Linked DNA regions of Canis lupus familiaris. The protein of the gene in region 1 interacts with the protein of each later gene in a pairwise test. Links are inferred from orthologs where the notes say so. Each region holds a gene or a part of one and is shown on either strand. Other genes may lie near its edges. The genes, in order: DAPP1 and FXN.

Region 1 (3,910 bases):
GCATAAGATGTTCCAGAATTGTTAAAACAGCTTGGTTGTTTGTATCCGTTTCTATGTTCAAAACCCACATGGAAAGAATTTAGTGCTAGGAATCACTACTATTGAAAAGAATATTGAAGTAAGTTAAAAAAGAAGTAAGTTAAAAGAATATTGAAGTAAGTTAAATAATATTTATATTTATAATTTATTTATTATATTTATAATATAATATATTATATAAATTATATAAATATATATATACCTCCTATTTGTTTGGAAGCAAAAGTTGCAGTTTCTTGAAGTATATATATATGTGTATGTATATACACACATATGTATATATGCTTATGTGTGTATAATATCTAAACAATCTATTGTTAAATATATTATCCAGTATTTTGACGACTACCCAGCATTTTGTTGAATCCAAGTGGTAATGCTGCAGCAGCTGGTACTGCTCCAATGCTAAATGTGTAGTTAGTGGAGCAGGGGGGTAGTAGGGAAAGGAGACTGCCTGGGGGAAACGGGGTAAGTGACAGAAAGAATGACATTAGAGGAGAAGGTCACCAATGGGGTAGCAAAATGAGAACAGGAGGAAGGCAGGAAGACTGAAAATGGGAAGAGGGTGATATTAGTAAGCTTTGCTTCTTTCCTGAAAAAAAAAAAAAAAGAGAGAGAGAGAGAGGAGAGGTTAAGTAAAAGAAAAACCAGAATCTGCTAAAATGGGAACAAGATAGATACTGAAACACTGAACAAAAAGCTCTAGAAAGAGAACAGGAAATCTCTGCCCAGATGCCCCGATCTCTGCCAAATGTACATTCAGCACCTCCCAGGCCGGGGCTGGCGTCTGTTGCAAGAGGACCCTGTGCTCCTCTCCGTCCACGCTGTAGCAAAAAGAATTGTAAATGTTCACGTACAATCAGTTACAAGAGTGTTATCAGAGCTTAGTCTCTCCCCCAGGCTGTGTTTAGACATCAGGAATTTCTCCCACACAATCAAAGTAAGCCAGGGTCTCCCCAATCACTGACAAACAGGAACACGAGGGAAAACATTTTTTTTTTATTTCAAAGATTTTCTTTTCTTTTCCTTTCTTTCTTTCTTTTCTTTCTTTTCTTTCTTTTCTTTTCTTTTCTTTTCTTTTTTTTTTTTCTTCTTCTTTTCTTTTTCTTCTTCTTTTTTTTTGGAGTTCAATTTGCCAACATATAGCATATCACCCAGAGCTCATCCCGTCAAGTGCCCCCCTCAATGCCTGTCACCCAGTCACCCCAACCCCCCCACCTCCCTTGTACGTTTCCCAAGGGAAGAGCCGTAAGGAAAGGCGGAATGGTGCCAGATGCAGATCCTCTGCTTTAGGAACAGCTCCTCTGTCCTGGCATCCTGCAAGGCAGTCTCCTCAAACTTGAACGGGCACGGGAGTTACCTTGGGGATCTTGTTTAAATGCAGATGCTGGTCCGGACTGGCTGGGACAGAAGCTCTGCATTGCGACAAGCCCCTAGTCATGCCAATGCTGCTGGCCTTGGGTTACAGAGCACCCCGGTGACCCCTGAGTGAGTTAGGGTAAGAGAGATAGAGAGAAGGGAAAGAATCCAGAAGCACATTCTCTCCTGCATGTAAATAGAGAGAGAAGGCGGGAAGCCACACATGTTCTTTGTTCATTTACTACCCCACTTCGTCCGACTCCCAGACACTCAGCATTGCTGCAGTTTCCCTGGAGCACCTGCAGGCAGACGGGCTGCTCTGCTGCACCGATACCAGCGGTGAGTAAGCCCAGTGAAGGAGGGGGGGCTCCCAGGCTCCCCGCACCAGGCTGGTCCTCCAACTTCTCCTGCCATCTCACCCCATCCTTCCTCCTCAGAGAAAACAGCAGTTGTCTCTGAATCTTGCCAGTCTGAATGCCACGGGCATGTTGAAAAGCTTGGGTAATCAAGGCAGAAGTATCGAGAAGGCACTAAAAACCAGACTTGAGGATCGAGGCTAATGGTTTGACTCTGATTTCTACACCCGCCGTAAAGATGTTCCTGATACAGAAGCTTCCTCGGAGCCCCTTGCGTTGGCGCATGAGATGGAAGATGGGGGTGCCTGTACCCTCTTCTCCCAGGGCTGATAATAGCACCTGGGAGAAACTATGTTTGGCCTTGCCAAAGGAGCCTGAATGGATGGATAGTCCAAGCCCAGCTGGGGTGACTTCATCTTACTTTCCTTTGACAGAAACTGCATGTTGCATGATGCAGCGTGGGTGCCCTCAGAGTAGCTACCTACGTTTGCATACTTCCTGGCTGACAGAAGACTCCTGCCCGTGCCTCAGGGCCAGGGTGGTGAGTGTCAGTGGGAGGAGTAACCCAAGTTTCACTTCCTTGCTGGTTGGAGCCCAGCCACAGCAGGCTTCTCTCTCAGAGGAGGAGAGCGCAAGGAGCAGTAGACCCAACTCTCTCTCTCTCTCTCTGCCTCTTCCCATAGCAACTGGCAGGGGCTGGGGGACGTGAGGAGCGCGAATGGGCAGAGCAGAGTCTCTCGAAGGGAAGATGAGCACCCAGGATCCTTCAGATCTGTGGAGCAGATCAGATGGAGATGCTGAGCTGCTTCAGGAATTGGGGTAAGAAGCAAGTCTTTTCAAAGTACTTCTTGGGTGACCATTGACTCCCAATTCCCTCCCAGATGTTCACTTCGGTTGACTATCTTCAGCACCTTGCCGTCTCAGTCCTCTTCGCTTTCCACTTCACCCCTTTGTGTCTGTTAGGCATCTTTCTGCTTGGGGCCAATCACATTTTAAAGGCATATAGTATTTTCCCAAGAGTGAAAACATGTAAGCAGAAAAAATGGGACAAAAATCAAATGTTGGGCATTCTTTGAGACTAGGAACAGGATTGAGATGTATGAGTCGATGTTACTTGGTTTCCTTGGTGCAGATCTGGTTTATGAATAAAAGTGCTGTTCAGAAGTTTGGAGCTCTAAGCTATTGACAGTAAGAGGGCTGCATTGCCAGTAAGATAAACAGAAAGCCTAGCCTATTGCATCGGAGAGGGACTTTTTCAAAACAGAAAGAATGAGGAAGTGTCTGCACTGTCTCATCTGTGTTTCTCTCTCCTGACACTGCATTTGTCTTGTATGTATGTGTGTCTTGTAGGTGCAACTTTGAGCCTTTTAAATACTAACAAGTCAGGAAGAGGATAAAATTCCTGCCTCAAACAGGTTATAAGTTTAGGTAAGGTGGCATCATCCTAGTCCTGTCTTTAAGAAGGGACCAGATGAGACAACCCATCAGGGTATTTAATAAAAGAAGCAAGTATTACACAAGAGAGGTGTAGGGGGTTTCCTGGAAAAACTGGACCTTTACCCTAAAGCACCAGAAATATCCTAATGAGGCTGATTTTGACACCTGTGCTTCACAAGAGGCAAGACCAGCACCTCTTCATAAATAGCACTGTCTCCACAGCAACCCAGTGACATAGAGCCTATTATCTCCAACTTACAAAGGAAGAAAATGGCACCCAAGGGGTTGAAGAACTCTCCTACATCACACATCAACAAATGGCAAAACTGGGATTTCAACCTGCAAAAGCCTATGTTCTTTGCCAGAGAAAAACTGAAACAGGGATGAAATCTCTGCATTAAGTCAGCAGAGATTATATCTTTTGTGTGGTATTATTGTAAAAGTTCTCCATAAGTCCAGCCTTCAGATTTTAAAATGGAGGTCTCAGAATTGAACTCTACCCTCACTAGATAAATCAGATATAACAGTGAGAATTTTCCATAGTCAACTCCCCTTACTGGGAATTCAGAGTTCTCAGATACCACTGTTCTTCTAGGATGAATCTCCAAAGTGGAAGGGTAAAATACCCCTGAGCATCCAAACAGGTGTCACAAAGTCCAGGCACTAAAGCTAGACCTTTGGGCTCTCACTTACAGCCTTATGAAATTATTAAAGTATAA
Region 2 (3,910 bases), on another chromosome or scaffold:
TGCTTCTCCGTGGTTTCTCTGTGTCAAATAAATAAAGGGACGCCTGAGTAGCTCAATGGTTGAGCATCTGCCTTCAGCTCAAGGTGTGGTCCAGTAATCTCAGGATTGAGCCCCACATATGGCTCCCCACTTCTCCCTCTGCCTAGGTCTCTGCCTCTCTCTCTCCTCTCTCTGTCTCTCTCTCTCTCTCTCTCTCTCGTCTCTCATGAATAAACAAACAAATCTTTAAAAATAAATAAAAATATAAATGTTCACAATTTGCATTCCCACAATTTGCATTCCTTTGCAATATACAACCTAAGTAAAACTGTCTTTTACTTAAAATGTATTAACAACTTAATAGCGTGCATTTAGCAGAGTCTAAAAAAAAAAAAAAAAAACCCTTTACATAGATTAACTCATTTTATCCTTAAAACAACCCTAAGAAGGGGATCCCTGGGTGGCTCATCGGTTTAACACCCGCCTTTGGCCCAGGGTACGATCCTGGGGTCCCGGGATCAAGTCCCGCCTCGGGCTCCTGGCATGGAGCCTGCTTCCCCCTCTGCCTGTGTCTCTGCCTCTCTATGTCTATCATGAATAAATAAAATCTAAAAAAAAAAAAAAAAAACCTAAGAAGAAACTTTTTATAAACCACGCTTTCCAGATGAGGCACGGAGAAGTGAATTAACCCGCCCACTGGTCACACAGCTGCCAAGTACAGAGTTCGGCCGCAAACCGGGCAATCCCTCTGCAGTGTGCGGGTCCCAAGGGCTCCAACCTCGCACAGCCAAGCGGGTTCAAGGCCTGCGCCGCGTCCAGGTCCCAGCAAGGCTGCAGCTCGCAAACCCTTCCTGGCTAGAACCCTGCAGCCGTGGGTCGCCAGGCCCAAGGCTCCGAGGACCGAGGACCGAGGTCACGCCTTCGCCTGTTGCCGGGGGCAAGCCCTGTGCTTTGCACGCAGCGCGCTCTCCCTCTGTCAAATACGGAGGCCGTGCAAGGCGGGGAAGCGCTTCCCGGGTCCACCCCGGGCCCGTCCCGCAGCCCGCAGCCCGCAGCCCGCCGGAGCGCCGAGCCCCACCGCGCCGCCTGCCGCCCGTAGCCAGCAGGTGTCGCCGCGGCGTCCCCGGAGCCGGAGGGCGGAGCGGCCGCAGACCGCGAGGAGCATGTGGACGCTCGGGCGCCGCGCCGCCGCCGGCCTCCTGCCCCGCTCGGCACCCCCGGGCTCAGCCGCGGCCGGCGCGGGGACCCGGGGGCCCACGAGGGCCGCCCCGCTCCACGGCGGCCGGGGGCTGCGCGTCGGGACAGGAGCGGCCCGCGGGCCCAGCCACGCCGTGAGTACCGCGCCGCGCAGCCGACCGGGCCGCAGGCGGGCGGAGGAGGCCGCGCACGCTGGGACGCTGCGGGCACGCGCGCTCACGGGGCTCCGGCGGCGCCGCGGCCCGGGGACGCGCTCTGCGGGCGGGGGCGCGCTCTGCCGGCCGGGCATGCGCTCTGCCCGCGGGAGACGAGCTCTGCGGCCGGGGACGCGCTCTGCCGGCCGGGCATGCGCTCTGCGGCAGGGGACGCGCTCTGCCGGTCGGGCACGCGCTCTGCCCGCGGGAGACGCGCTCTGCGGGCGGGAACGCGCTCTCCTGGCCGGACGTGCGCTCTGCCGGTCAGGCATGCGCTCTGCGGCCGGGGACGCGCTCTGCCGGCCGGGCATGCGCTCTGCGGCCGGGGACGCGCTCTGCCGGCCGGGCATGCGCTCTGCCCGCGGGGGACGCGCTCTGCGGGCGGGGACGCGCTCTGCGGGCGGCGGGCGGCGGGGGAGCGCGCTGCCCTCTCCGCGGGGTGCCCGGCCGCGCAGCCCGCCTCCTGGTGCCCGGGGTCACGTTTGCACCGGCCTCTGCTTTCCGGTGCGAAAGGGCAGTGCATTGCCACGGCGGGGGACACGCAGCGCGGAGGCCCGGCACCCGCCCGACCGCCCACGGAGGGAAGGTGGCGGGGGACCCGCTCCCGGGGGTCCGTGGTGGTCGCCCAGCTCGCCGCCTCCCTCTGCCAGAACTAAGGTTTAAGTGCTACTATATACGGTACTGGGTACTGCACCACACATGTGTATGGCAGATGATCCTAGCATCTGCGTAAATATATGTAAATAGACTGAAACAGCACACATACCAACAAAGCAGTGTGTAGTAGTGTGTGTTTATAACTCTAGAGCAATGTGTTCAAGAATGTGCTTTTATGAACGAAAAGCTTCCTTGGAGCCAGGTGGAACTACCAAGGCCCTGGAGCGCAGTAGGTAGCGCAGCAAAGCTTTTGGAATAGGACCCGGCCTGGGTTCCTCGGCCTGGTTCTGCAGAGCTCTGCGACCCCGGGGACCACCCCTCCCAGAGGCCTGGCTTCCTTTTCGGTCTAGAGATGAAAGGATGAGGACATTCATCCCGCCGAGCTGGGGTGAGGATCCAGTTGGCTGAACGTGATAATAAAGTCTTCAGCTCTGGGAGTTAATTCTCTTTCCTTCCCTTGGGGATGCAGTGAAGCATCTGACCCAGGCAATCCCAAGACCTGAGAGGAGGCAGCCCAAGGAGTGGCTGTGGAGTGAGGAAGACTCAGCGGGGTAGACGGGATGTGTAACCCGGCTTGGAGGTGGCGCTTGGAGGTGGCAAGAGAGCAGCATCCTAAAAGGGGGACCTGCCTGGGCCGGGTAGGCAGGTGGACAGTAGCTGAGTGGCTGGGTGGACCCTGCGTGGTGAGGAAGGCAGGTGAAGTCCAGCCCAAATTGCCTGTGGAGCTCTGGAATTGGGACTTTAGACTTAAACTTCCCACGGCCCTGTTATTTGACCGTGTGTGAAGAAAAGTTAGAATTGGTTGCCAACACTCAAAGTTGGGACCTTTGATACTGGATCTTGCAGCTTCTCCAGAAAAATAGGCAGTTGTGACCATGCTGGTTCCACGATGTCCCAGTGCAGAACACAGACATTACCCTTCTCCTGGGCTGTTCTGTGCTGTTCCCACCTGGAGCTGCCCTGGCTTGCACTTCGACCCCTGTGGGCCATGGATTGGCAGCAGTTTTTAATTTAGGACAGTGACAAGATATGGCATGGTCTCTTGGATGGTACCTAGTGGCTGTTGAGGGCTGTTGACTCAGAAGCATGCCCAGCTTAGAGCTGCCACGCAGCGGGTGGGCACTGGACACACATTGGGATTAGGAGTCTTGGGAGGTTGGGAGATAGTAATCAACCTGAATCACCCCACTGGGCCTCCTCTACCATGTAAATTAATTGAGTTTGTTGAGCTTGTCTGTAACACAAGTTCGCTTACACATCTCCAATACTTGCGGAGTTGGGTGGATGACGATGGCAACTGGGATCACCTTGTTTAATTTGTTTTAAGGCCTGAACTGTCCTCAGGCTGACTCCTAACGTCTCTGCGCGCCAGAACTCACCAGGACCTGAGTTCAGTGGGTGGGCCTCTTCCCCATCCTTATTTTCTCTATTCCCTATCCTACTTCTACAGCACCGTGCAAAAGAAATAGAATGGGAGGTGCGTGTGTAATTCTAAATTTTCTAGTAGCTACATTACGTTGACAGAATATAAAAAAGCAGGTGAAATTAATTTCGATACCACAGTGGGACACCTGGCTGGCTCAGTTGATAGAGTATATGACTCTCCATCCCAGGGTCATTAGTTCAAGCCCCATGTTGGGCCTAGAGGTTAGTTTTAAAAAAAGATTCCAACACTACATTTATGTAATCTCGTTTTTCAAAATATTATCATCTCAACATTCTGGGTTCTCAGTAGAACCCAGAATCTACAGAAATGCTTTCCTTCTAAGTGTGCAACTCTGTGGCCCAGGGAGGCATCTGGTTCTATCAGGCACTGATCCTCAAACTTTCCCTGGTGCACTGGAGGTAGCTCCAAGGAGAGCTTGCCACATGTTGCCATCTGT

The links.
Region 2: the proteins of DAPP1 (region 1) and FXN interact in binary tests that used the Homo sapiens proteins (3 or more experiments, as listed by UniProt). The link is inferred for Canis lupus familiaris from reciprocal best matches to the Homo sapiens genes DAPP1 and FXN.

What each region holds. Positions count from the first base shown.
Region 1 is NC_049253.1:18,115,495-18,119,404, reverse strand, and holds the start of DAPP1 (dual adapter for phosphotyrosine and 3-phosphotyrosine and 3-phosphoinositide), read left to right. Parts: upstream 1-1,278; 5' UTR 1,279-1,737; intron 1,738-2,338; exon of another isoform or gene 2,339-2,437; 5' UTR 2,438-2,472; coding exon 2,473-2,573; intron 2,574-3,910. UniProt on the Homo sapiens protein: May act as a B-cell-associated adapter that regulates B-cell antigen receptor (BCR)-signaling downstream of PI3K.
Region 2 is NC_049222.1:88,982,071-88,985,980, reverse strand, and holds the start of FXN (frataxin, mitochondrial), read left to right. Parts: upstream 1-1,107; 5' UTR 1,108-1,142; coding exon 1,143-1,310; intron 1,311-3,910.